Linked DNA regions of Alligator mississippiensis. The main gene of each other region encodes a partner of the protein of the gene in region 3 in a complex. Links are inferred from orthologs where the notes say so. Each region holds a gene or a part of one and is shown on either strand. Other genes may lie near its edges. The genes, in order: CNOT2, CNOT10, CNOT6 and CNOT11.

The links.
Region 1: CNOT6 (region 3) and CNOT2 share a complex: the UniProt entries of both Homo sapiens proteins name them as parts of the CCR4-NOT complex. The link is inferred for Alligator mississippiensis from reciprocal best matches to the Homo sapiens genes CNOT6 and CNOT2.
Region 2: CNOT6 (region 3) and CNOT10 share a complex: the UniProt entries of both Homo sapiens proteins name them as parts of the CCR4-NOT complex. The link is inferred for Alligator mississippiensis from reciprocal best matches to the Homo sapiens genes CNOT6 and CNOT10.
Region 4: CNOT6 (region 3) and CNOT11 share a complex: the UniProt entries of both Homo sapiens proteins name them as parts of the CCR4-NOT complex. The link is inferred for Alligator mississippiensis from reciprocal best matches to the Homo sapiens genes CNOT6 and CNOT11.

Annotation. Positions count from the first base shown.
Region 1 is NC_081827.1:70,446,910-70,454,238, reverse strand, and holds the start of CNOT2 (CCR4-NOT transcription complex subunit 2), read right to left. Parts: upstream 3,014-7,329; 5' UTR 2,977-3,013; intron 2,360-2,976; exon of another isoform or gene 2,260-2,359; intron 1,706-2,259; 5' UTR 1,629-1,705; coding exon 1,599-1,628; intron 1-1,598. UniProt on the Homo sapiens protein: Component of the CCR4-NOT complex which is one of the major cellular mRNA deadenylases and is linked to various cellular processes including bulk mRNA degradation, miRNA-mediated repression, translational repression during translational initiation and general transcription regulation.
Region 2 is NC_081828.1:142,098,247-142,105,801, reverse strand, and holds the start of CNOT10 (CCR4-NOT transcription complex subunit 10), read left to right. Parts: upstream 1-4,541; 5' UTR 4,542-4,749; coding exon 4,750-4,804; intron 4,805-5,076; coding exon 5,077-5,171; intron 5,172-7,555. UniProt on the Homo sapiens protein: Component of the CCR4-NOT complex which is one of the major cellular mRNA deadenylases and is linked to various cellular processes including bulk mRNA degradation, miRNA-mediated repression, translational repression during translational initiation and general transcription regulation.
Region 3 is NC_081832.1:73,962,550-73,969,759, reverse strand, and holds the start of CNOT6 (CCR4-NOT transcription complex subunit 6), read right to left. Parts: upstream 3,019-7,210; 5' UTR 2,898-3,018; intron 1-2,897. UniProt on the Homo sapiens protein: Poly(A) nuclease with 3'-5' RNase activity.
Region 4 is NC_081824.1:344,728,300-344,735,215, forward strand, and holds the start of CNOT11 (CCR4-NOT transcription complex subunit 11), read left to right. Parts: upstream 1-3,901; 5' UTR 3,902-3,978; coding exon 3,979-4,402; intron 4,403-6,043; exon of another isoform or gene 6,044-6,412; coding exon of another isoform or gene 6,413-6,422; intron 6,423-6,916. UniProt on the Homo sapiens protein: Component of the CCR4-NOT complex which is one of the major cellular mRNA deadenylases and is linked to various cellular processes including bulk mRNA degradation, miRNA-mediated repression, translational repression during translational initiation and general transcription regulation.

The DNA.
Region 1 (7,329 bases), on a different chromosome or scaffold from region 3:
AAAACAAACACAAATGTAGGTCTAACTCCTGCAAATTCCTCAGCAAGTGCTCATCTGTCAGTAAGTTACTATTCAAATGAAGAATCCTACTTAAGTGTGTACATAAATAATTGTAGGATCAGAACCTTAACCAAAGCAACACTTTAGGTCACTTTTTAGGGGCATTTAAAAAAAAAAAAAGTACAACACCCCTCTAACACAGGAACCTGAAATAAAAACAAACCATTCTGAAGTACTACACATATTAAAAAAACAAGATGTTTTAATTGAAAACATATTCACCGAAACAGACAGAATATTTTATCAAAGTCAAAATGCCTAACAATTTTGTAAGCATTTTAAGATTATTTTTCTATTAGCTAGCAAGTCTAAGTTACCCTAACCTTGAATTGTTGGGTTTTGTCAGCAAATATTAGTGGCTGCATTTTTGCATAAATGATAGAAATATCAACCTGATCCTGCATAATTATGAACAAACACCTACTTCTTAAAAAAGAAAAAAAAAAGTTAATTGGTACAAAGTGTAACATGTTTAGACAGGCTTACACTGGAAAACTAAAAGTTCTTCCAGTCTGGAATAACATTTATAAATATGCACAAACACAACAGAAGTAAACCAACATGGGGGGAGGGGTGGAGAAGGTAGTAACCAACATATATTCTTCATTGAATTTTTTGGATTGTCACAAGGAAAATCCCTCTCCCCAAAATAATAACAGATCAGATCACAGCCATTTACATAGCACTATAAAAAAAATATGGATCCTACAAGCTTAATGCCAAATTCTATCCTTGAATGCTTGTGTAGAATTTGTGTACAAATCCCATTAACACTGCCGACTTGACCTGAAAAAATAAATAATTTGGGTTTAATCTTAATATTTTACATTGTGAGAAAACTATTGGAGAATGCTTTTTTAAAAGGTACACTTTCAGTATAAGGGACAATACCCACTTTTTTCAAACTTTAGTACTGAAAATAGACTTCCAAAGGAGATGAAAGTGTATTTTTACAACAAAATTAAACTGTAACAAATTAAGCCTGCAATCCTGTCTAGATAGACAACACACAGGCAAGACTGGAGGAAAAATAAACAATTTTGATGTCAGACCTATGGTCAGTTAACTCAGTGAAATGGCACTCTCAACTTTCACAAAGAGCTAGCGCTAAAGACCAACATTACCAAATGTGAGCAGGGTTCTAGGGCTACTCTAAGTTGCCCAACTGACAACACTTTTATGGGATCTGATGTTCAGGAAGTAACAAGTACTCGTTCTTTAGAAGTTGGGCCCTTCCAAATGACATCTTAATTTGGGCACTCCAGCTGTTAAAGTCCTTTCTTAAATTCTCAGATAACTTTAGACTAGCATTAACAGTTAAGGCACAAGGAGCAGATTCTCCTAACACAGAGTTTCATAAGTAAGTAGTTACAACTCTTTAGAGAAGGATGCACAAAACAAAACGTTCTTTCCACCACAACGTCATTAGCTTCAGTGCAACTTCCTGAAAATGAAACCAAAATACCACTTGCGAGACAATGACAAATTACTTTGTGATGTGAAGCATTCAAATTCCCTCGTAATAAAAGGACTGGTACCTTGAAGTCTGGAAGCTTACAACATACCATCAGGAATTCTCCGGGCGAGCAGTGATGCTGTTATACCAGTACTCGAGAAACAAGGACAAGATCTTGCAAACCTTGTTCTATTAACAACAGACAGTGATGAAATGTCCCGTTCTAAGAGGAGACTCAAAGAACACTGCTGCTTGCACAAAGTCCTTCCTAGGCCTAAATACAGGACTTTTGCCATAAAAATCGAAATAGCCGCATTTTGGTTACTATTCTAGATCTATACGCCATAACAGTTTAACCCTCCCTCCCAGCAGCATGATTCCTATTGGCCGGTATGACAGCAAGTCCAATCACCCTTAAATCACCTGGTTGAAGAATAAAGCCCAGCAGCCACCCACCACCACCACCACCAGACTTTAGCACCATCAAGACTATGAACAAATGTTGCCTTCAAGACACCATGCACACTCGGGCAGATGTGAAAATGTGACACCACTGCCAAGTGTCAGCTGGAGAGCAGCAGGGCAGAGATTAAGTTTCTCCAACAAAATAGATTTTTAATTTTTTTTTTTTAAAGTCAAAAGCTGCTATTGGCAATCACCTCCCTGAAGGTGCAGGGGGAGGAAGACACCACGGCTGTACTCAAGTTCTACCCCAGAGGGAAGAGAGCTCAGCCAAAAGTTACCTGTGGCTTCAGGCGGACTTCTCTTTCCCTCTCCCTAAGCGAGGCTGGTTTGGCGAGCAGGTCAGGGCATCCTCCAGCAGAAACCCCCACAAGCAGGGCCCGAGCACAAACCCCTGGCAGTCCCCGCTACCCCCGCCCGGCTGCCGGCACAGGGAGGCGAAGCCCCGTGTCCCCGGCCCGCTGCGGGGAAGGGAAGCGAAGGGCCCGCTCTCAAGTTTGTTCGCCCAACACCGGGACGGGCGGCTCAGCCCCCCGTCTCCAGCAGGAGAGCGCCGGAAAACACCCCCAGTCCCCCGGGCTCGGCCCCTCTCCTCAGCCCGGGCCGGGCTCAGCGGCGGTGGCGGCAGCGACAGCGGGCGCGCTGGGCCCGCTGAGGAGCGGCGGCCGCGGCCGGGCCCGGCGCTGAGCGCAGCGCGACGCGGCCTCCGGGCCCCGCGGCCGCGGCCTGGTCCTGCGCGCAGCGGGCCCGGGGGGCGCCGGCCTCGGGCGCCGCGCGCCTCCCCCCGCTTCCCTCTCGCTCCCTCGGAGACAAAAGCAAACGGCAGCCCGGCGGGCCGGGGCCGCGGCTGGGCCCGGGGCCGTGGCCGGGCGGGGGGCAGCGGCGCGGGCGGGCGAGGCCGGGGCGGCCGCGGGGCCCTCCGGAGGTGGCCGCGGGCCAGGGCAAGGCGGGGGAGGGCGCAGCGCGGAGCCCGCGGGGGCGCGGGGGGCCGGACTCACCGCATGAATTTTCTTGTCCCGCCGATCCAAGATGGCTGAGTCCCCAGCACGGAGGATGCTGGGGGAGCGACCTTTACCCTCTGACCCCGCCGCCGCCGTGACCCCGCCGCTGCCGCCGGGCAACCCGTGTGGGGGAGGGGCGGCGCTCCGCCCCCTGCGCAGCGCGGCGCTGCGGTGCGGTGCGCTCCTGCCGCCCCCGGCCCGACTCGGCTCGGGCCTGGCCCTGTTACAGGCACAGACACACGCACACACACACCGAGGGGGGAGTTGCTCCGTGACCCGGCCCCACGCACACGCAGCCCCGCCGGTGGAGCCGCCTGTCCCTGGTCAGGCAAAGGCAGGGGTGGGCCGCATGTTTCCTCTCATGGGGGCTCCGATCCCACCCGCTTTGGGGCCTCAGGGACCCAGGCCGGAGGCGGCAGGGACAGGCTGTTTGTTACTTTCAGGGGATCAAGGGTGACTATCAGCCGCCCTTAAGGAGGGAGGCCCCTGAGAAAGCGACGGCCAATTCCTTGGGACACAACAGCCAAGGAAACAGGGAAGGGAGCAAGGTCATGGGTTCAGAATCAGGGATTGGGAAAGTGGAGCTGAGCAGAGTGCACTGGACAGTGCCCGGCGGCCCTCCAGAGACTCCAAGGAGCCGGTGGATGCTGCTCAGTGATGGGACGAGGGACAGGAAAGCGGCCCTGCAGTCCCCGTTGGCTAAGTCAGAAACCAAATCTTTTCGTGCCCGGGCCACTGGTCCGATTGGCCACCTTGTCCCATCCGGCACCTGAGGCAGATGCTGTCAGAGCGGTTTCGGGGCACCATGTAGTTTCTCTTAACTGGGGCACCCAGGAGGTTTTTCACATCACAACCTTCAAGCTTGGCTTAAATAACAAGGGCCCAACCCTCCAGACCCAGACAGGTTAGACGGGTGATTCTCCAGCTGGATGCCACAGCACCCTGGGGTACCTTGAAATCCTTTCAAGGGTGCAACGGGGTGCCACACAGCATTAGCACTGTGAGGCGTGCAGATCCAAACTTGCACAGTAAACCCAGAGGTTTCAAATGGGAATTGGCAGTGTTACGACAAGACTGAACTGTTGCAGTCTTTGTGAGTTCTTCGCAAAGGAAGAATGGCTCTACTATTTTTCCGTCATTAAGAAACACTTGAAAACTAGGAGCCGATATTTTCTGAAGGTGCCTTGAGTTTATCAAAGGGTGTCTCCGGTCTAAAAAGGTTGCCCACCACTAGGTTAGACATAACTAGTGTGAATATTCATGCTAACTTCCGTGGGGCTACAATGGTGCTTAAGTCGGCACATAAGGCTTACCTGATAATAGCTGAACTTCCCCATCCTTTAAAACAAAAAGAATAAAACTCATAGACTATTGTTATTTTAATTGTCATAATTTTTTAATCTGAAGTAGCTGCATTAAGAAATAACACGAGGAAAAAAGGCACTAATGGCTGATTTTTTTAATGTTTTTTTTTTTCCAGTAATAAAAGAGGCTTCATACTTTGTCATTTACTCAGGCAGGTTTGATTCTTACAGTTTCAAAATTGTCTTACTGTTCCAGCTAACAGTATAGAAAGGTAGTTAGCCGTGCTAGTCTAAAGTCTGGCAGAAAGTGGGACAGGGTAGCAATTTGGAGACTTAACTGATTCAAAAACACATAAACTATTGTGTTTCCAATTAAGTAGACTAGGGGCTGGATGAGCAGTGCAAGGTCTGATTGCAGGCTGGATCCAGACAGCAAGCACAATCCAGAGCATGGAGCAGACGCAGCAAGGGCCCATCCGGCCCATGGACCACCCCAACAGCCCAGGTCCATTCTGGCTGGATCCAGCAACCTGGGTGGGGGGACCCATGTCCGTCTACATGGCAACAGACTGACCTGGCTGGGCCTGCATCCAGATATGTGGGGCTTGAAAATTTGGCAGCAGCGGAAAGGTGTAGCTATCCTTTCCTACCACCAAATTTCCCAATCCATGGGGAACTCTGTAAGCCAGATGCCATGGCTCCATGGCCTAGATTTGGCTTGCAGGCAGGAGGTTGACACCCCTAAAGTAGATTTCACCTGCAGAAGCTTTCCTTTCTGAATTAATTAATAATCTCTAAACTGCCACCCTACCCTGCTTCCTGCCTGTTCCAGCTAAGAAACCTTATTGAGGGCAGGTTACCCAAAACTCTACCTTATAAACAAACATTTTAATGTGTAAATAGAAATTTAATATTTGAGGGCAAAATAATACACAATGTTTCTTTAATGACACCTTTTTACTATAACTATACAACCTGGTTTAAGGCCTCCATTCAATTTGATCAGAACTGTTTTTTCTGATCTTACAAGCATAAGTCAGAACAAGCTATCATAGTTCTTTTTTCTGTTTAAAAAATTATGCAGTTCCTAAAAATAAATAAAATAGCAAAAATGTACCTTCAAGGCTTGGAGGTTTATTATTTGTTTGTTTAAAGAAAAAAATTAAAAAGGGAAAAAAATAAGAATCTTTTAGACACCTTTTATGAAAAAATGTGGACTTCTGTTTTTAGACTAAGAGCAATACATGAATCTTCTTAATCTACTCCAGAGGTTCCCGAACTTTTTCGTATTGTGTGCCCCCTTCCAGATTTACCAGCTACCCATGTACCCTTACCAGCATCTGTTTTATATTTTAAACCCTTAAATACCAATTATGATTATAATGAAAATTAAATCCACCAGTTCACAATTTCTCCCGCATACCCCCAGAGATGTCTTGCATACCTCCGGGGGTATATGTACCACAGTTTGGGAACCCCTGGTCTACACAGCTGCAAAATTATTAAAGAGAATTTTTGGCCTTTTACACCCTGAGATTTATTCTGTTAAATTTGAGTTTAGACTTCTCCCCATTCTGCTTACTTTTCACAAGCATTGTTTTAGTTAAATTTCCACAAAAAGAAAATTGATGTAAAGATATGATATCCACTAGTGTGACGCATGTAAACTAAGCATCCAATTTTATATTTACCTCTTTCTGGGCTGGTCCCTGCATCCATTACAAAATTTGGGTTCAAGTGTAAAATGGTATGTACTTGTACAACATTTAGGTTACATATTTCAACAACATTCAGGAAGGAAGCACAAACATTCAGTTTTATCACAGAAAATAATTTCTTTGTTCTACAGATACTACTTGTTAAGTAGCCTAATCAGTCCCAATGTGTGTAAATTAATGTTAATCTAAAAACCTTAACTGCTATGTTCCCTGACTTCCTATCTTTCATTGTAGACCATTACCATTACAATTAATATGTGTATTTGACTTCTTTTTTGGTTTGTTTTGTTTTAGAGAACAGGAAAGTTGTCAGCAATTTAAAAAGACTTTGAAGTTGATAAATAGATAACAACAGACTGTGATTAATGTAGTGAGTTCGCCTATTTGCAACTTCTGCTATTGGCTAAGTACATTTTTCTTCAAGGCTGAAGTCTGTTCTGTTACTAAGTAGCATTTTATTAACTAGGCATGCATTTTAAACCATGTTAGATGAGTGCAAACCCATGTGTAGACATTTCTAATTCAACTGAAGCCTGGTTTACCATTTAGCTTGCACGTGTAAGGCTTTGTCTCCAAGCAAAGGCATACTGATTTGGTTCAGTGTGTGTGTTTCTAACCTATTTAAGGTAGACTGATTCAAATTTGTATGTAGACACACTTTACTGTAGTTTGAAGAGTAGCCTATTTTACAAACTAAATAGACATGGCAAATTTTAAACACATTTTAGTAAACCAAATTTAGTTAAATTGCTGACACACCTAAGTATAAACAAGAAGAGCAGCATTAATAGAAAACTTCTCCTGCCCTTGGCTCTGTGAAGACGCAGATCCACGATTGTCAAATCAGGGCCTGAATGTCTATTTATGTATATGCTGCTCTCCCAAAGACAGGCTTAGGGTGACTTACAATAAAGACCCAGATAAATTATAAAGACAGATTAAAATATTAAACAAAAGTAATATGTATTAGAACAAACGCTCCATAAAATGATCCAAAACTCAACCCTGCCAGCAAAAGGCCTGCCCAAATCAAAAAGGGTTTACAATATTTTTGGAAGAAACATCCAGGCTCAGGCTGTGACAGGCCAGAACAGGAAGGAGTTCTATTTCTGGGAAGGAACTATCAAGAACAAGCCCCCAACATGGTTTGGAAAAATGTGGCACTCATTTGAGTTTTCATTGTACAACCATGGTTCAGCTAGGCCTATGCATCCCATTTACCATGCTGCTCAACCGTATCATTCTACGTGGAAAAATCTGTATGGCTATCCTTGGCCTCAGATATAGACAGTGACAGAAGGACATGCAAACAGGTTGGATACCAATAA
Region 2 (7,555 bases), on a different chromosome or scaffold from region 3:
TTGGCTTGGGGGTTAATGGGTGAAACGCAGACCCCACCCTAGGTGCCGCTCCAGCTCCCTTTCACCAGGCCTGGCTGAGGTTGCACGTAGTGGCCTGGACTTAGTCCTCAACTGTCAATTGACCCATTTCCATTGACGTTACTGTTTTTTCTTCTTTAAGGTTTCAACCCCCATATAAGTACCACCGCTGATAGAGCTACGCTGCCGTGCATTGACAGGCTGCCTGTGTCTTTGGTTTTTCTAAGAAGTTTGTATAGCAAGTCTCTTCTCCGCTCTTCCCGATGAAATCATCATTAGTCACCAATATAATACGTGTCTGATCCGATACTTGGACTGTTCTGGTGATGTGGTCCAACAGCTGGAGTTTATCCTTTCAGCAAGTGAAGCTAGAATCTCCAAAGCTTCTTAGTTGTTAAAATCCTCCATCTACTTTTCATGGATGATTGACTTAAAACCAACTTTATTTCTTTATTCTCACAGGGTTGAGGCTAAAACATTTTACTTCTGGTTAGAAACTTGTGAGGCCAACTTGACCATAGAGAAATTCAGTGAAACAAGGGTTTATCTTAGGAACCAGTTTAGCCGTAGTTACTGTGTTACTAGAAGCGATGCTATAATCACTATGTCAGATTGCTTATTCTTTGTGAAAATGATTGGCACAGTCTCTTTCAGTTCAGACATTGCAGAAATGCGTGTGGCATGGATGAACCTTCATTGCATGGGATGATAACTGTGTTTGCATGTGGTGAAGTAGCTTTTTAGATATTAAACTCTTCATGAGGGGGAAAATCAATGCCCAGTACTTAAGATACTAAGAAAGATGTGGTTATTACTGTAACCAGTTGGCTCAAAGAGAAGTCTTACCTGATAGTCACCCATTGAGCTCGAATCCTCAACATCTTGAGTGTCTCTCTTGACTTGCTGCTTGTCGCCACTGCATACTGGCTGTTACCTATAGGTGAACCATCTGAAGGAATGGTGGCTTTCTTTCTGTACCTCTTTGTCTGCTTGGGGAACTCTGGCAGCATGGGACAAATTATGACAAGATTTAATGATCTTGTAAAGGACACATTTTCCCTGCTGGGTGCACAAAATAACTTGGTCTGTTTGTTGGAAATGGAGGATTATAATAACTAAGAAGTTTTGGAGAGTTCGGCTTCATTTGCTTAAAGAACGAGCTCCAGTGGTTGGACCAGGTCAGTGGGTGGTCCAAGCTTTGAACCAGATATGTTACATTATTTTGCTGGCCAATGGTGGCTTTGTCTGGCAGAGCAGAGAAGAGGTGTGGCAATGGATGCAAATTTATTTTGGATAAGAAATTATCCTGCTCAGTACTGATAAAAAATAATTTCCAATTGGAAGGGATGTAAAAATAGGGTTAAAAAGAAAGGTTGGGGTGGCAAATGGATACCTTTCGCATTGAAGTTGTAGCTGTTAGCTGTGGAGGAAATAGATTCTGATGCATCTCTTAACCTGAGTGGATGGCAAATGAGCAGGCGAGTCTGTGGCCTGTTTAGGCTAGGTGAGTCTTCAGGGAATCCAATCTCTAATGTAATATCAGGGGAAAGGTTTCTGTTGCATGAGGTTACATCTAAGAAGTTTTTGCTTTGATATCAAAGCTGTCTGGAGCTCAGGTTGGTCTTCTGCAGATACTTTAGTTTGTTGTGTGTTTAAAAAAAGTACTGCTTCCAGAAATGAGCTGAAATAAGTAGGAGAAATGGATCGAGGTTATGGAATGATTCAGTGGAGGACAGTTGACGTTGACTTTTCTAATTTAGATATTGTAGTGAGCAGAGTTTAGCGGTATCTGGGTCTTCCCAACAATGCAAGCTGTAAGGCTGCTGAAATGAGTTGAATAATTTCTTGATTTCTTCAATCAAGCCCAATAAAGAGGTGTTATATCCTAAGACTTCAGAGGATTACTAGGATGTTCCACAAATAGTCTAGTCACTGCCAGGGCTGCCTGCTCTTTAAGGGTATATATATTTAAAAAACACGTTCTCCTAAACCTAATCTTCTAAGTTGTTCTTGTTAACTACTTCCTAGAGAATTATTTTGCCATTAGTACAAATAAGAAGTTTTAGAATACAAAAAGGACAACCAACTATTCACTGTGTCCACAAGGGAAAAAGCCAAAAATGATGGGCTGAAGTTGCAACATGGGAGGCTTTAGGTTGGACGTTAGGAGGAACTGTCTAACTATGTGGTTGGATAAGTACAGCAACAGATTACTTTGAGAAGTTGTGGAATATCCATCACTGGAGGTTCTTAAATGCAGGTTATTTTGTTTTTCTGGTTTAGCTTCTGAGATAATTTGAGCAGGCAGTTGGATTAAATCACCTTCCAGCCTTGTTCTTCTTTGATTTATAGAATACTAACTTTCTGGCTTTTACTTGACAATCTTGTCATGCAATGTTGAGAGAATGAAGTGGGCATGCCTAATTTGGGGAAAAGAGATTAAGGGGACATGATGGCGGGTTTCAAATATTTGAAAGGTGACCATAAATGAGAACACCTGTACTCTTTTACCACAGATGACAGAATGCAAAGCAGTGGGTTTAAATTGCAGTAAAGAAAATTGAAATTAAATCTCCAGTAAAAAAACTTCCTAACTCTAAGAACTATAGAAAATGAAGCAAGCCACCTGAGAAAGATGTAGACTATCCTTCATTGGAGGTTTTCAAGAAGAAGCTGGATGGGTATCTGTATTGGAAGGTTTAGTAATACTGCATCCTATAGCTTCACAGGGGGATTGGACTAGATCAGCGGTGTCCAACCTTTTTGAATGTGGGGCCGGATTGTGAACGTTTTATCACCCAGTGGGCAGGCGAGCCAGATTCAAAGATCTTGCAGGAAGCGGTATCACATCACCTCCCCCCTGTGCGCCCCCCCCCCCCCCCCCCCAACAAAAGTACACTGTTTACTTTTGTTTCCTGTCACAGCACCTCGGGCCTCAGAAAACGGCTTGGAGGGCCGCATAGCGGGCCGTATGTTGGACAAGCCTGGACTAGATGAAACTTGAGATCCCTTCCAACTCTATGATTCTGTCTAATTTCTGTACTGTGAGCATGTGTGGTGGTTGGAAAGAAACTGTAGAAACTCTTTCAAGCTTCCTTGACTCATTTGTTGAATGGATGGTAGGACTAGCTAAGGGCTTTGGCAGATGCAGGGTTTTAGGTCTAATGCAGGGGTGCTCAACCAGATCCAACCAGCAGTGTCATGTCATTTGGTCCACACTGCTTCCTGTGTTTCTGGAAATTTGGCAGTGAGGGATCTGTGGCACCACTCCCTGCCAAATTTCCAGACCCATGGAGAGCCCTAGTCCTGCGTGCTGTATTGGGCACCTGATCCCAACACACAGGGCTGGGAAAAGGTGGCACAGGGCCCCAGGGAGGCTGGCAGGGATGTGGAACCCTAGGGCCCAGTCCTGGTACATGGGGGCCTGGAAGGGACAGCCTTAAGGCCTGATCCTAGCAGAAGAGGGTGGCACCATGTCCCAGGGTCTAATCCAGCCCCACACTGCTCATCCCGCCTGTGGGGCCAAAACTTGAGCACCACTCATGAAAGGTAAATCTAAAAAATATTACATTGAGTAGAATTCCAAGATCCCCCAGGTATTTAACTAGTCTCTTTCCTGTGTAATCTTCAGAATTGTGGCTGGTACTTAAGGTGATCTTATCATAAACTTTGTTTTTTATCTGAAGAGTTTTCTCTGTTGTGACTTTCACAGTTGGCCTCAGCTCTGGTGAGTTTCTAGTTTTTGAATTGTGGGCTCAAATTTTAAGTTAGAAATAAGATGATGTTATTGAAATGTGTCCTTCTATGTTGTAGAATCATAGAGAAGTAAGCCTGGAAGGGACCTCCAGAGGTCATCTAATCCAACCCCCTGCCTGAGGCAGGTTGGTTATCCTTATCCAAACTGTCCCATACAAACCATAATCTAAACTCTACGCAAGTCAGCCCTGAAATAATATAGACCTAACACCGTAAATTGCCACAAGTAAAGCAGGGAAGCCATTGCAGTCAGTGTCCTGCTTCTGTGAAATGTTATCAACATATGCTCAAGAGATGCCAGATAGAGGGTCAGGGTCATGCCCCTTGCTACAGAGGAAGGCAACAACCCCCATAGTTTGTAACAGTGTGACCATGGGGTAAAATTCCTTCCTGACCCCAATTCTGGCAAATTGGTCTGACCCTCGGTGAACGGACAAGGCCCTCTAGCCAGGAACCTCTGGCAGGTTCCAGCAGGAGCACTGGCACACCCCAGTCAATTAACGTGCATATACATTGGTGAACAAAAAATATTAAATATGTAACCTTAAATAGTGTCTATCTTCCTACCCATGCGATACCTTCTATCGTCCCAGCAAATGATGTACATTCATGCTAAATGTTAGCTACTGAAGATCTGTAACAGACAACCTATTCCAAACGATTTAACACTTAAGAGATACCAACCAATGAATATTTGTTTTCATCCATTTTCAGTTTAAAAGTTAACCCCTTCTAAGTTAATAATGCAAAATCTGAAATATATTTCCTGAATAGGAAAACCTATTTGAGAATAGTTCTGTGAGATGAATTTTACATTCTTTTTGGGGTTCTGATTGTATATTCAGTGCATAGCAGTGGAGCGTTTTGCTTCTATTTTTAGTCATCTTTAGCATGTACATTTGCTACATTTCTTAACATTAAGGGAACTTAGCAACTGGGGGACAAGTAGTAGCATACAGATTAAATTAGGTAGCTATGCGGAATGAGAGAGATTCCTACAATAGTTTTTACCAGCTACTGGTATCAAAATGTAAGTAAACAAAATGTACTTTTTACAATGTAAAAAAATTCTCCAGATATTTTGGGGGGAGCAACTCAAACTCCAAAGTTGTTGTACTCTCCAAATTGAATTTAGCAAAGATAGTGTTGTAGTTATGTGTAAAGGTGCCCTAAGTATTAACAAATGGATTTTGAGGGAGGGAGGAATGAAATATGTAATAAAGATACTGAATTATTTTTATTAAATTTAATTGCACATATGATGAAAGCTATCTATTTTCTCTAACCCTTTTAATTTTACAGATCAGGGAACTGAGAAACATGAAGGAGCCACTACTACTTCTGGAATTTCTGATCAGGAAAAGGAGTTGTCAAATAATGCACTACAGGCTTTTGTGGTAAGAAAAGTCTTCAGTTTAAAGATTTCTCTTATATAATTTTGTTCAACATTTACCTGTTTATTCCCATATTTCCTAGAATATTAGGACATGTACTGAGATACTAATTTTGTTTTACTTTCTAACAGCAGCATTATGAAATAATGACCATCACTTATATGAACTTTGATATCTGTTGTCAGACAATAAGAAGAAATAGAGCCCTTAGATTTAGGGTTACCTAAACAGAGAAATGCAAGCACGTTTTTGGTTTTTTTTTCTTGGTTCCCAGAGTTCAGTCATGAGCTTGGCAAAGTAAGCTTATATACGTAGTCCTGGAAACACTCAGACAGCAAGCTTTTTAATTGAATCTTTTACTCCATAGTTTGTGGGTGCACATTTCTTATTCTCTATCTCGTTTTGTGTAAGCCATTATTTTTTGGGTCATGTAGATTATCTAAATAATTTGAAATGTGTTATCTTTCATCCTCCTTGTCCATTTTGTATTATCATAAGTCAGCACTGCACAATATTTTTTCTAAGCTGTTAACATGAAATGAACAGATTTATTTGTAAGACTGGGGAATGATCAAAATATCATAACCCAGTATTAAATGTTTCCACATTCACCTGTCCTGTTTTTAATATCCCTTTTGCTCATTTGAGGCATGATCTTCACATGATGGGAAGGGGTCCTGAGGGGATACAGTGAAAGAATTTCTTACAATTATTCATACCTGAATTGACTTTGATCTCCTTTTAGTTTCATCTCCAGTTCTACAATTGGCCAAACGTACTTTGCTCATCTATGTGTGATAAGACTTTAACAATCCTCTAAGCACAAGAAAAGATAACGGGTTGTAAGGTAGTGATGAATGCAGACAAAATGAATCTAGACTCCTAGTTGTCAGTTTTCCTTTAGTATGGAGTTATGTCAGATAACCTTGTTAACAGTTTTGCCTTACTTCCAGCACTTTTTTTTCTCATTTACTGCACTTATTTTCAAGTTACTTGGTGTTGGCAGAGTGGAAGAGTAATGCAAAGTACAGTAGGAAGCAGTTAAATTAGACTTGATTTAATAAGTATTGTCCAAGGTGACCAGAACCTGTGAAGGGCTAAACCAGGGGTAGGCAACTCCTGGCACAGGTGCCAGAGCATGGCACATAAAGGCATTTTGCTTGGCTTGTGTGCCTTGGCATGGACAGTGGGGAAGGGAGCAGGGCTGTGCTGCCATAACAAGGATTGTGGGCCCCTTATGGCTCCCCCTCCACTTACCCCTGGCATGCCAACATCTTCCAAGTTAAGGTTAAAGGTGTTTTTGGCACTCTGCCCAAAAACATTACCAGTGCCTGGGTTTAGCAAGGCTTTAGATACGGTTTCCCGCAGCATTCTTGCAAGCAAGGTAAGGAAGTATGGGCTGGATAAATTGACTGTAAGGTGGATAGAAAATTGGCTGGAGCATTGGGCTCAGACAGTAGTAATCAATGGCTCGATGTCTAGCTGGCAGCTGGTATCAAGTGGAGCACCCCAGGGATTGGTCCTAGGGCTGGTTTTGTTCAACATCTTCGTAAACAACCTGGAAGATGACAAAGAGTGCACCCACCACAAATCTGCAGATGACATCGAGATGGGGGGAGTAATAATATGCTGAAGGGTAGGGCTAGGATTCAGAGTGATTTAAGCAAATTGGAAGATTGGGCCAAAAGAAATCTCATGATGTTCAACATGGGCAAGTGCAAAGTCCTGCACTTAGGATGGAACAATCCCATGTACTAGTACAGGCTGGGGGCTGACTGGCTGGGCAGCAGCTCTGCAGAAAAGGACCTGGGGGTTACAGAAGACAGTAAGCTGAATATGAGCTAACAGTGTGCCCTTGTTGCCAAAAAGGCTAACGGCTTACTGGACTCTTGGTAAATGTGTTGTCAGTAGGTCAAGAGAAGTGATTATTTCCCTCTGTTCAGCACTGGTAAGGCCACATCTGAAGTGCTGTGTTCAGTTTTGGGTCTCCACTACAGAAAGGATGTGGACAAATTGGAGAGAGTCTAGCAAAGGAACAACAATCTCAAGTTGCAGCAAGGGAAGTCTAGGTTAGATATTAGGAAGAATTTTCTCGCTAGGAGGGTAGTAAAACACTGGAACAGGTTAGCCAGAGAAGTGGTGGTAATTCCATCCTTGGAGGTTTTCAAAACCAAGCTAGATAAAGCTTTGGCTGGGTTGATCTAGTTGGGAATGGTCTTGCTTTGAGCAGGGGGTTGAACTAGATGACCTTGTGAGGTCCCTTCTAACCCTAATTTTCTAGGATTCTGATTAAACCATTCAACCTGAATTGGGACTAGGATCTGTGTGTCTGCAGCCTGAATTTAAAGGGATGCTTCTATCAATATCCTGGTTCAAGGACTAGGAAA
Region 3 (7,210 bases):
TTGAATCTACTCTGAATAATTTAGTATAAGACTTCCAAAAAGTACATAGCATCTGTCATGTCAATATTTGGCAAGGATTAATAAATTTAGTGTACACACATCCTTGTAGGATGTATAATTATCAATATATAGATTAAAGAACAAGATGTGCTGTTTGACCTAGGGCAGTGCCTATATTAAACTGTCTACATTAGAATTAGGAATGACTATATTAGAATTAGGAAAAAATCCAGATACTGCAGCTCAGTCTGCTGCCTTAAATACATGGATATTCTTATTAGGTGTTAAGCTTTATATTATTTTCTTTTCAACATGACACTATGTAATTGCACTCTTTTTCTGCTCAACAAAAAGTTTATGGAAAGAGCAATAGCTAATATCTGATGTATGCTTAGACACTAACAATAAAAAGGAGCCTTCCTTCACATATTTACTTCTCAAAAGAGGCTAGTAAGAATACTGATTAGGAGCATATGTCTTTATGTATCTTGTGCCTGATCTGATCATGATGTATCTGATATACAACACATACAAAATCCATGGTTTTTGGCTTCATCTGAACCAAGGCTGCCATGTTACAAGCTATTCAATTCTCACACGCATCCAAGATTACATGACAGGATGAAAAACAGAATACTTGTTGACTTCAGCATTCTGCTGGAAGAGAAAACAGAGGAAATGGGCTTTAGGGGAGGGACTATCTTTGTTCTATTAGCACAGAACAACAGGCTTCTGGCCCATGACTGTGGCGTCTAGGCACCAGAGTAATACAAATAATAAATAATGCACTTTGTACTATGCACAAAAAGCCTTGGCCTTCTTAGGTTTGGTCCTATGCTGTGTAGCTGCAATTTTTTCTATATTCTGTTTATTTTATGAGAAGGATGCTTTCTGTTGAAGTGAAAGACTTGTGAATCTTGTTTCAGCCAGCCTTGGAAGTGTTCCTTCCATTTTTCAAGGGGACTTTCTCCAAACAAAACCATGTACCAGGTTACTAAAACAGCTCTTTTCTTGCTCATCTCTGGAATAGCCTGGTCTTAGTGGTTTTTCCTCCACTTCAAACTCAAGGGCACTACATACTTTTTCTTTAATAAAGAGATCTGCATGTGTCAAAAATAGTTACCTGCCCATGCAGTATTATAGTCTCATCTATATTTCAGTTCTTCCTCTAAAATTCAAGCAAAACAACCAGCCTGAACACATCAAGACTGCACCCAGAGTTCAACTTCAATATGCAACACAATAGAGATGCATGGTAGTCTCCTTTGTGCATATGGACAGATCCAAGTGTTTCAGGTGAAAAGTAAATAAAGAGTTAATCCAAATGTGAATGGCTCCATTTCAGTAACAGCGTGAATAAACCCCCACAGAAGGCTTCATTGCTAGCTGCAAACTCCAGAGTCCAGATGAACCAGCAGGAAGAACACAGGGTGGATAATCCTGTAAAATTACCTCAGTGGAAATGTTGATAAATTCCCAATTACGAGACCTGCTCTAGGATGAAAAAAAAATGCAAGATACAATACAATTACCAGTCAATGCTTGCAAACCTTTGCAAGTAACAATTACCACAGGTATTCCTCAATCCCTTGAACTTTGTGCAACTGTCATCTATCACAGTGAAATCCTGTTAAATAAAATAACTCCCTGAAATATGGTAACCAAAGAGCTTCAACCATGATTATAAAGTATATATTTGCCTAAAAGTGACATGAAACTAATTTTCCACCTTTAGATTATTACACAAAAACACCTAAGTTTGCTTTATACATACTTCTCATATTGAAAGAATAATGCATTTCACTTAGGGATTACAATTCCTGTAAACATTATAGGTCAGGTAACCTATAAGAATCAGGTAGATTTTGAAGAAACAGGCTTTTAAGTGCGAGGCCAAACTAGCCTTTAAAAGCTTCAAACCCAGGTAGCTGGATGTACAGCAACTACTGTATCGGGCTTTTAAAAAGGCTTTAAAAAAAAAGCATAAAAACACTAGGTCTCGTACCCAGTTCAGAAGTGCTTACGCACCGCTCATTTGTGCCAGCGTGTGACAAAGGACGGCAATCCCCTCCCTCCCCGCAACTTCTCAATTACGGGAGTAACCAGAGGCACGCGAGCTTCGTCCCCGGACGGAGCAGAGCGCCCGACATCGCTCCCGCTCCCAAAGAGGCGCACGCCGCCCTGCCCGAGACGCACCGAACAAAGTTGTTTTTTTGGCAGGAGCCCAAGGGCCGCACGTCCGGATCCCTCTCTGTTTATCCCTGCATGCGTGTGTCCCCCGGTCTCGGCGGCCCAGTCGCTTACCTGCGTGTCACCGCGAGCCCGCCCCCCCGGCTGCCTGCATTGGACGGCAGCGCCGTCACTCCCGCTCACCACCGCTCTCCCTTTCTATTTCTCACCCAGGCAGAAAGCACTGGCGGTCGCTGCTGTGGCCTTCTCCTCCTCCTCCTCCTCGCCAGCTAGGCCTCGGCTCCAGCAGCCAGCGCCAGTGCAAGCTTCTCCCGGGGCAGGAGACAGTTCCCGTCGAGGCCCCGGTTTTGTTCACTCCTCGCCTCTAGCTCATACATACATACATAAACAGATATATATTTTTAAAAGATGCATCCTTTTTCCAGCTGTCGGGGGGCAATCTGGGAGAGGGACAATTAGCAGACGGATGTCATTTCCCCGGGTCGTGGCGTGTCCCCACAGGCACCCCCCCCCCTGCACCCCGTTTCTCATCAGTGTGCCCCCCCCCTCGCCTAGCTGCCTTCGCCACCGGGTCAGCACCCCGCCATCGCACCCCAATATCCAAGCTCAGGACGGCGATAAATACATCGCCCCTCCCCCCCCTCCATGAGGGCCGCCCCCTCCCACGGGGTGGGGGGCGCGGCCCCCCCCCCGGCTCCCGCCCGTACCTGTGGCTGCAGCATCCCCGTCCCCCCGCCGCCCTCGCTCCGCCGCCTGCCTGGCTCTTTGTTTCCTGCCGCGGGCCGGACGGGAGAGCGGCTCCCCCCAGCCTCCGCCTCCTCCTCCTCACACTCATTGAAAGCAAACAAGCATCATGGCGGCGGCTGCGGGCGCCCCCCGCACCCCCTCCCCCCGCCCCGTGGCCCCGCCCCCGCCCGCGCGCCATTGGCCAGCGCGACCCACGTGACGCCGCCGCGACCGTTGCGGCCGTTGGGCTCCTCAGGCGGTGTCAGGCCTGGTGGCGCGGCGCAGCGAAGTGGAGGTACGTGTCGGGGAGCTGCAGGAGGGAGCGCGCGGGGAGGTCTGCGGGGCTCTGCCGGCGGTGGGGGGCATCGGCCCGGCCAGCCCCACGCTTTGCTCCGAGTCTTACTCGTCCTCCCCCCGGTGCCGGCCTCCCTCGTCCCTGCAGCGCGCTGGTGTGAAGAGGGGTTAGCTATCTCCTTGACTGGGGCACCCTCGCTCCGTCTCCTGTGCGCCGCGGCGGGGAAGGGAGACCTTTCTTTTAATTATTATTATTATTAAAATATATTTCCATAGAGAGAGAGAGAGAAGGCGTCGTGTATGTACATCTTCTGGCTGAAACTTTCCATCATGCCTCTTAAAACCGCAGCGTTTAAATTTGCCCGTGGGAAGGTGGACCTGTCCGTCCATCTGTCTGTCACTTGCTCGCGACCTCGCCCGTGCGTCTGGGGCGGTCGGGATGCGGCGCGCCGTCCGCTTGGGCCCGTTGAGATGTGCCCGGGTCCGGTTAAGGCCGGGGCAGGCAGTTATTTTGGGCGGGGGGCTGCTTACCGATTTTTAGCAAGCCGTCGAGGTCCCGCGTGACGGGCAGCCGGGGGCAGGTCGATATTAATTTTCTATATTTTTTAGGGGCCCGCGGGCTGGATAGACTGGGCTGGCGGGCCGCATCCGGCCCCCGGGATCGCGTTTTGCCCACCCTGCATTAAGGCGAGAGTTAATCGTCGTGTTTAAGCAAGAAGTTCGCAGATGTTCTGTTCTCCTTCATTACGAGGAGCTCTTCTCAAAAAGAAACGAGCGCTCACTGTCTGTACTCGAGGCTGTCCAACGCCGTTATAAGATCCTGTTTTTAACTCGGCGCGTTGTAACCGTTCGAGCTGACGTGCGTCATGCTGGGCGTCCGTTACAGGCTAAAAATGGGTTTTGATAAGTGTCAGTGCAAACGGTTCAGTCAGGTTAAGGAGGGGGGAAATCGGTCCACACTGAAAAATTCGTACGGCTGTTCTTGCGAAGCTTCAATGCTTTGGTGATTGGAGGCCATGCAAGAGACGTGACATGGAGGGTGCCTTTGGTTACCTTTGCTTTTCCCCTGAGTAAACTCTCAAATTTGGTCTAGGTATAAGCCTGTGAAAACGTGTTTCCAGGTGCGCAGGGGAAACTCGTTTGGCTTCCGAATTCTTCAGCATCTACCATTGGGCGGATCGGAGCCAGATGAAATTCAACACCGAGAAGTGTAAAGTGCTGGATCCACCTGGGGACGAACAGCCCCCCAACACACCGGCAGGCTCGGTGACGCCAAACGACTGAAAGGGAGCTGGGGGTAATAACAGACCATAGTACGAACATGAGCCGTCAGCGCGATGCTGTAGCCAGTAGGGCAGATAATACTCTGGCGTGCATCGATCTATGCATCTCCAGCAAAACCGAGGAAGTGATTTTTCCGCTTTCCGCGGCATTGGCGAGACCGCAGCTGGAGTACTGCGTCCAGTTCTGGGTGCCGCACTTCAACGAGGATGTGGAAAAGCTTGAGAGAGAGACTCCAGAGACGAGCCAGCCATACAATCAGAGGCTTGCAAGGCAAGCCACATGAGGAAAGGCTGAGGGACTTGGGCCTCTTCAGCCTATAAAAGAGAAGGCTAAGAGGGGACCTTGTAGCAGCTTACTGCTACATCAGGGGAGTACGTTGAGGGCTCGGCAAGCAACTGTTCACCAGGGCACCCTTGGGGAGAACCAGGAGTAATGGCCACAAACTCCTGGAAGACTGTTTCAGGCTTAACACTAGGAAAAACTTCTTCACAGTTAGGGTATCCAGACAGTGGAATAAACTCCCTCCAGAGGTGGTGCAATCACCTACCCTGGAAATCTTCAAGAGGAACCTGCACAGTCACCTTGCTGGGGTCACCTGACCCCCAGTTATCTTTCTTACCTAGTACAGGGGGCTGGACCTGATGATCTTGCAAGGTCCCTTCCAGCCCTTAACAATCCATGAATTGGTGAGCAGGCTCCAGCCCTTCACAGCTCCTGTATACGAACTGGATTGCATGAGCACCATCCAGCAAGAGTGTGGGAGCATGCTCTGGCTGAGGCTGCATGGTCTGCAGTCTCCTGCAGATGACTCGTTGGTGCCCAGTCAGCGTGGAGGGAGAGGAGGAGCAGCTTGACTGGAATGCAGAGTAATGAGTGGGGTGGGGAAGGAAAGGGGGAATAAGCAGGAGCAGAGAAGATAAGGACCCTGGAAAGGCTTGTGGGAAACTGGAGGGTGGGGGTGAGCACAAGATCATTTGTAACCACTGTAGTGTATTTTTGTGCACAAACTGGATTGGACCCCCAGAGTCCTTTGCAGTTAAGTAGATGGCTGTGAAACCCACTGGCTGAATGTATGTTTCATCACCCTCTAGTGGCAGGTCCACATAGAGCAGAGGTGGGCAAAATGCAGCCTGCCAGCCAGACCTGACCCACCATCCAGTCCATGGCTACCCAGCAATTGTACCCCACCCAGCCCACATGGTTCACCCCCATTCTCATGCCTAGGAGGGCCCTGGCCCTGGCCAGCTCGCACAACTTCTAGGCAGGGCCAGTGCTGCAGCCACCGGGGGACCTGCTTGGCTTCCCCGGCCTCCAGCAACTTCTCGTATCCCTGCTGCAGCACTTGCACCACGGAACAGGTAGGGAAGCAGCAGTGGGCAGAGGAAAGCTGCAGCTCAGTGGGAGCATGGGGCTGGAGCTGGCAGGAGTGTGGAGCCTGCACCCAGCAGGCAGCAGGAACTTGGGTGGATAGGGTATGGGTGAGGGTGGGAGGGCGTGGGGACCTCTCCAGGTGCCCCCTTCCCATGCCTGCCCCCACTGCTAGCAGTATTAGGTGGCAAGCCCTCGGGGTGCTCATTGTCAAGGGGTGAGGCTACTCTTGCAGCCCTTGACAGCTTGCTAGAACTCATTAAGCGGCCCTCCAGCTGAAATAATTGCCTACCCCTGACCTAGAGGATAACAGCCTTCTGTTGCTTCTGGTTACTTTGTTAGCACAACTGGCAGATACCCGAGTTATGGAACTAGTCCCAACCCTGCTAATGATCCAAGTTAAGGCCTTGTCAATATGATTCTGCATGATTAAAACTTTCATTTTGCTCATTTGCAAATGCTGTGAATTGCATCAAATTATTAAAAACAAACAAACAAAAGTGTGTTCCATTGATTTTTGTGAAGTCAAGTCTCAAGACTTACTGCCAGAATTCAGATTACTTATTTAGGGTTCAGTTGTGTATAGGCTTGGTGGGATTTGATTTTTAATGATAAACCTTGATAAAAGTTGATTTCACTTCTTGCACGCTGATGAAAGAATATTTCCATTGTTAATAATCAAAATTTATAGAAGGGGGACATAAGGAAAATGCTGGCTGATGGTGTGTGAGACAACAGGGTGAGCAGTCCTACAACACTTCTGACTCATTTGGACTGTAACTCCCAGAAACCCCAGGGGACTGGGAGCAAAGGAAGAGGAAGTGACAAAGCAGACAAGGGAGCTACAGGCAAGCCAAGCCAGGACTGATGGTAGCTCTGTTATTCAGCAGAGAACAGTCCTACAGTAATGTTTGTTGTGGTGGGCAGGTAAATCGCACTATAATAATAGTATACTGCCATTAATAAATTGTCTGTTCCCCACATCCCTAATTTCTCATGGTCCTGAAAATTTAAATAGATAAAAATTGAAGCAAATGCTTGAAAATAAACATTGATGCTATCCATCAAAATCATAAAAAAATTCTGCCAAGCCTAGTTGTATATTACATTTTTGTAGTACTCCTACTTCTTAGTGCACAGGATGGAGCTTGCTTTGAGAGTGATTCATGGTTGAATTAGGCCATTGTCTGTAGGAGCATTTAATTGCTGATGCTTTCTAGTACATCTGATACTACAGCATCAAAGCAATTAGTCTAGGGCTTGTCTATACTACGAAGCTCCTGTTGCTTTAGTTACGCTGGGATAGCTATGTCAGCAGCATGCCCCCTCCCCCCAGTGTAGATGTAGC
Region 4 (6,916 bases), on a different chromosome or scaffold from region 3:
GGACCGAGGTCAGATGACCCCAGCCAGGTGACTATCTAGCCTCCTCCTAAAGACCTCCAAGCTAGGTGATAGCACCACCTCTCTTGGAAGCCCATTCCAGATCCTGGCCACCCTTACTGTGAAAAATTTCTTGCTAAAATCTAACCTAAATCCACTCCCAACTAGTTTACACCCATTATTCCTAGTCACTCCCTTGGGCACCCTAGTAAACAGCGCTTCCCCTATTCCCCTGTTGACCTCCCCTAATAAATTTAGGGGATGGGAGTGTATCCAGGATCACCCTAGCTCATGGGAGGGAACCCAGGCATCTGTGAGCCCTGGCCAGAAGATATAAATTATAGGAAAGCCTTAAAATCAGCTACAACGATCAAAAAAAGCCAATGATGTAAATTTCCCTTTTATCAGTGTCGATCCAATAGGCAACCGATATATTGGTGTACTTTTACCATTTACAGGATTTGGTGGCAATTTATTACCAAGAACATGCAGTGGTTAGCAAGTATTACAGATAACTCAAAGAAACATATTTAAGTCTTTCCTTTGATGGCAAGCCATCACTGCATGCATATCCTATTTGGGTTTCCCCTGGAAGCAGGGCAAAACAATTAAACTACGGAAAAGTAGGGACCTCCAGAGGTCATCTAGTTCAACCCCCTGCCTAAGGCAGGATCATCCCTATACAAACTATCCTATAAATCCATAATCTAAATTCTACTTAAGACTACCATAAACCCAGACACAACATAGACCTAACACGCTAACCTGCCACAGGTAAAGCACGGGAACCACAGCAGCCAACATCCTGCTTCTGTGAAATGTTGTCAGTATATGCTCAAGAGGTCTGGGGTAGTCCACACCATGGGGTAAAATTCCTTCCTGACCACAAATGTGGAGATCAGTCTGACCCTGAGTGCAGGGACAAGATCCTCTAGCTAAGTTCCTCTGCCTTTGGTCCCAGCAGAAGCATGGGCATACCTCAGTTCAAGTCTCCAGCCCTGGCTGTAGTCAATACCCAATGCCTCTGAGGGAGGCATAGAAACACCCTGACCCATGGAACAGAAAAGGGGGGAGGGGACAGGGGCAACCAGCAAAGCCCAGAAGCCTGGGAAATATCTATAGTAGAGCAAAGGCACAGCTACCCCTAGATTATTTGCAACCAGTGACTGTCCAGCCTCTTCTTGAACACCTCCAGTGATGGAGAGTACACAACTTCCCTAGGCACTGCCTCACAGTTCTAAGTGAAGAAGTTTTTCCAGATATTCAATCGAAACTTACTTTGCTGCAACTTCAAGCCCTTGGTCCATGTCCTCCTCTCTGCAAGATAAAAAAGGTGCTTTCCCTCTTCTTTGTGGCAGCACTTCAAGCATGTGAAGACCACTACCATGTCCCATCTTCAGCACCTTTTCCACAAGCTGAGCATGCCAAGCTTCTTCAGCCTCTCCTCTGCTCATATATCTTGCCTTCTAAGCCCTTGATCATCTTTGCTACCCACCTCTGTATCTTAATTTTTCCACAGACTTTTTAAAATACAGAGTCCATGTCTGCCACAAAGCAACTGCCTGCAAACCCCTTCTTTCTTGTCTTCAGAGGGAATCTCCACCAACTGAAGGTGTTAGATACAGGCCTGGTCTTCAATAAAGGAAAGCCAAATCAATGATTAGCTCATCTCCTCCCAACTTGCTAGCCTTCATGCTTGTGCTTCCCACAGCTGAAGCTCATGTTTCAGGACCATTTTGGACCAGGACACGATCACAGAATGATAGCACACCAGGGCGAGAAGGGAGGTCATCCAATCTGACCCCTGCTCAAAGCAGGACCATCCCCAACTAGATCATCCCATTCAAAACTCTATCTGGGGGACCTTAAAAATATCTACGGATGGAGATTCCACTGCATCTCTGGGCAGTCTGTTCCAATGCTTTACTACCATCCTTGAGAGGGTTTTTTCTTGTCTCTAACCTAAACTTCCCTCACTGTAACTTGATACCACTGCTCCTTGTTCTGTTGTCTGCCACCACTGAGAACAGCTCTAGCTCCAGGCTCTAGCTCAGGATGGACAATTATTTGGGCCTGAGGGCCACACAGGAAGTTTTGATGAGCTGTTGGACCAGGTCAGCACCCCCCTCCCCAACTCACCAAAACTCCCTATGGGGCTCTGGGTGGGTGGGGAGCAGTGTTCGGGAGTGGGGCAGGCATGATCCACTCCCTGCACACACTGACTTGTTGTGATGGAAGGGGGGGGGGTATACAGAGGGGGCTTGTGTATGTGTGTGTGTGGGGCTGCATGGGAGCCAGCCAGGGACAAAGGGAGGGGGAGGGCATATGCAGCAGAGCTTGTACTCCCACCCACACCTATCAGCCCCAGCCCTGACCCGGGCCCCAGCCAGTATGCAGGTTCTAGCGGGTGCTGCTCCCAGCATGGCTACAGCCAGTCAGGACTGCATTGTCACCAGGAAACAAGGGGAGGACAGTAACACCTGGCCAGTGGTAGTCACACCAGGAACAGCCCCACTGCAAGGCTGCAGTGGCTCAGGCCAGGGGGCCTGCTCAGCTCCCCTTGCCTCCAGCTGACGCTGGTGCTCCTGCTTCGCTGCTCTGGGCAGATGGGAAGCTTCAGCTGGATGGCTCCTGCCTAGGTGTAGAGTTGTGGTGGTGAGCAGCCATCTGCAGACAGGCGAGGTGGGTAGAAAGTAGCTGGGAGCTAGAGTCAGAGCTCCATACACAGGGCAGAAGCCACCCAGCAAAACTTTCTGCCCCGGCAGAGCAGTGGGGCAAGGACAAGGGCTGCAGCTAGAGGCAAGAGGAGCAGAACAGCTTGGGCCAGCAAGCAGCTTCCAGTGGAGCTGGCCTTGTGCTCCCCATACCTTCTGCAGCCACTCCTCCTCCTGCCCCTGCTGCCTGACTTGAAGAAGGGAAGCTTCTGCTCAGCTGCTTCCACCAGAGGTGAGGGGAGCAGAGGAGCATCCGGCCAGCTGCAACCGCACTGGGAACAGTCCCACCAGAAGCTGCAGTAGCCAGTCCAGGGCTGGGGGGGGGAGCATGGTGCAGACTGCCCCCACAGGAGCAGGTAAGGCTCAGCCCTAGGTGGAGGCAGCCACAGGCTAGATCCAGCCAGCTGAATACAGCCCACGGGCCACATTTTGCCCACCTAGATCTGCCTCCCGGAATCCCCCTGCAGGGAGTTGAAGGCTGCTGTGAAATCCCCTCAGTGTCCTCTTCCCCGGACTAAATCAACACAGCACCCCCAGCCCGTTTTCTCTGGACTGCACCTGTCTGCCCCGGAGCCTTCCCAGTGCCCGAAGGCCAAGGCCTGAGAGCAGATCTAAGACAAGGCTGAACCAGACCCGGATGCAAATCACCGCCCACAAAACCGTCCTTTTAGCCGCAGGGAGTGAGAGCCAATCATCGCCCACGCTCCTTGAAGGGCGGCAGCAGCAGCCAATTCGTGCCCTCCCTCTGCCTCCCGGAGGACTCAACAGCCAATCCCTGCCCTCGTTTGGTCTCCCTGAAGGGATACCACCCGTATATGGTCCTGAAATACGTATGCGTGCATCCTCGTCCGCTCCCCGCCTCCCTGGAGCAACAGCCAATCTCCGCCCTCCCCGGAGCCCGGCAGCAGCCAATCCCGGCCCTCTCTCCGCCTCCTCAAAGGAAACCACCCACCCAACCTCGCCCGCTCCCCGGCTCCTTGAAGGACAGCCGCGGCAGCCAATCTTCACCCGCCCTCGCCTCTGCGGGAGGACGCCAACAGCTCCTTGGGCGACCCAATCCCCTCCTTCCGGAAGACGCGAGCAGCCAATCCCGCCTCCCCCCCGCTTCCCGGGGGATGCCGCCAGCAGCACGTTCCGGTACTACAGACGCGCCCTGGTCCCTCCCCTTGCCGCCCGTTACCTCCCTGCCTCGCTTGACGGCAGCATCGCGAAGTGTCGCGCTGCCGCTTTGCGGCCTGGCTCCGGAGCGGGGCGGCGCGGGAGCTGGATGCCCGGCGGCGGAGGCAGCCCGGCGCCCTGCTCGCAGCTGGGCGCGGAGGCGGCGCCCGGGGAGGCGGCGGCAGGCAGCAGCGGCGGCGGTGGCAGGATGAGCCTGTCGCCCAAGGAGCTGTCGAGCCTGCTGAGCATCGTGTCGGAGGAGGCGGGCGGCAGCTCGTTCGAGGGGCTCTCGGGCGCCTTCCACCACTACTTCGGCAAGGCCGAGCACTTCCGCCTGGGCTCGGCGCTCGTGCTGCTGCTGCAGCAGCCCGACCTGCTGCCCAGCCCGCCGCAGCGCCTCACCGCGCTCTACCTGCTCTGGGAGATGTACCGCACCGAGCCGCTGGCCGCTAACCCCTTCGCCGCCGTCTTCGCGCACCTGCTCAACCCCGCGCCCGAGCGCGGCGGCGAGGCCGAGCGCACCCCGCTCTCCGGTACCCGCCTACCTACCGGCCTACCAGGACCGGCCCCATCCCCTTTTCCCCCTGCTCTGGCACCACCTTCCTCCTCCCGGGCTGGGGGCGGGCCCTGGCATCCCCCCCCCCAATAAATATTCCCACTCCCACTGGGATTGGGTCGGCCCCAGCACCCTCCTGCTGCTCGAGTACTGCCCACTCCTGGGACTCGGGCAGGCCCCAACCCTCACTGGCACTAGCTCCCACTGGGACCAGGACTGCCCCCACTCTGCCCTGGCCACTGCCCCTCTTCTCTGGGAGTGGGGATGGTCTTAGCAGTCCCCCCCCCCCCAATGCTCCAGCCACTCGCTCCCACTGGGATCAGCTCCCCCCACTCTAGCTCTGTTCCCCTTTGGGGTTGGTCCCAGCATCCCTCCCTGCTAACATTCCTACTGGCACTGGGTCTGCCTCAGCACCCTTCCCCCTGCTCTAGCGGAGCCCCTCACTTGGACTCAGGCAGGTCCCAAAGGTCCCCCCACCCCAGTGTTCCAGCCACTTGCTCTCAGTGGGACCAGGACCGGCCCCATCCCCCTCTTCCCCCTGCTCTAGCACCACCTTTCTCCTCCCAGACTGGGAGTGGGGCAGGCCCTGGCATTCCCTCCTAGGACTGGGCTCAGCCCCAGCACCCTATCCCCTGCTCTAGTGCTGCCTGTTGCTGGTCCCAACCCCCACCCCTAGCAGTCCCTGTCTCCCCCAGCTACAGCCACCGCCTGTTTTCTCTGGGACTGGGGATGGTCCTGGCACCCATCCCCCCCCTCCCCTCTCCTCCCCCTCAGCTCTTCAGCCACTGATTCCCACTGGGATTACAAGTATTGTATTGAGCTGAGAAGCACCACAGTTACGGGTTTCTATTTGAAATTTATGGGCATGTCTCCATGAGCAAGAATGTGCATTTCCCCAGGGACCAATAGCAGCATTGCTACTGCTGGTTGTCCCCTGGCACGCCCCTGGACTCACAGCAAATTGCCCCAGGTGCGGTAGGGGAAGCTGGGTCTGGCCCCAGCAGCCTTACCTGGGGTGCTGGGGGGGGGGGAGCTCCAGCAGCAGCAGTTTCGACACGCAGAGTTTGGCCAGCAGCTGGAGCGTGGCTCTGGCTGGCCAGGCTCCAGCATCTGGTAGGTCACATGTGCCACGCTACTATTTTTTGGTGCAGCTTTCTTTGGTACCAGGATTTCCCAGTGTCTCATTTTGCTGCTGTGCTGCATTCTGTGGCGTGCAGATTACCATGCACTGCACGCATACAGTGTTTGAGGCTCTGTAAACTGCACGTTCCCACTTGGGATGTGGCCTCTGGGTTTATCTTGTGAACTGTTTGTAAACCTAATAGTGCTGACGTTGCAGGGCACCATGCACCATCCTTGAAAGGATCTCAAGGCATCCCAGGTTGAGAATCCTTGACAAACCAATAATCCATAATTGGTTGGCTTGTTAACCAAAAGCCCATTTCAGGGGCTCAAGCCTGCCTACACCAGTGATAGTTTTAAATATTGCTGTTTTTTTACTGGCTAAGTAACCTGTCTTCAGCTCTTGAATGAACAAATGTATTTTTTTTTAACAGTATGCTTTTAATACATAAATGAGCTGTTTCATAGAAATAAAAAATGTAGGGCTGGAAAAGGGACCTCTGGAGGTCATCTAGTCTAAACCTTTGCCTGAGGCAGGATCATCCTTATCCAAACCATCCTATACAAATCCATTGCCTAACACAGATTTATTTCAGAAAATGCTTTTTTTTTCAAAATGATTAGGATGCTTAACCACATATAATGCGTTGTATGAAAACTATTCATAACAATTTTGCAGCTGTTGCCTGACCCTGCCAATGGTAAGTCTGTGCTGTGGCAGTCAGTGGAGAGCGCTGCTTTTCAGAGGGCATGTGAATTTCCTGTGTTGCATCCCTCCCCAGCTACAGACTTCACAAATTAATTTCAGGTTGCTTACCACTACAGCAGTGATCTGTGCGACTACTGGGAGTGCTGTCTGGTTAGCATGCCCTTCGGTAAGGAATATTTGTAATAGGGTCATAAAATGTTTTTCATATTCTTAATTTACTTCAAATGGTTTCTAGGCCACCAAAGCTACCAGGTTTTCCACTGAAAACTACATACAATTCATTAGTAATGCAAGCCATTTTAGTTTTCAGAGCACAATTGAGGTCCTCTTCAAAGATGATAGTCCCTGTTTTAGGAATAAAAAGAGGGTGTTGAGCGTTATTAGCACACCTCTTCCCCCCCCCTCCCCCGGTTTAATATATGAAACTACAGGTATTGCAATGAATAACTCTGTTGTTTAGGCTAGTGATAAGCCATTAGGAATGATAAGCCATTGTGATTTTAAATCCAGACTAATGGACATGCTCAAAACCAGAATAAAAACATTGCCTGTTCACTAATTTCATCCTACAACTGTTTTAAGAGCCTGTTTTCAGTGTTGACCTGTATCACGGAAGTATTTGATTCAATTGAATTAACATAATGGCACAACTCAAGTGTC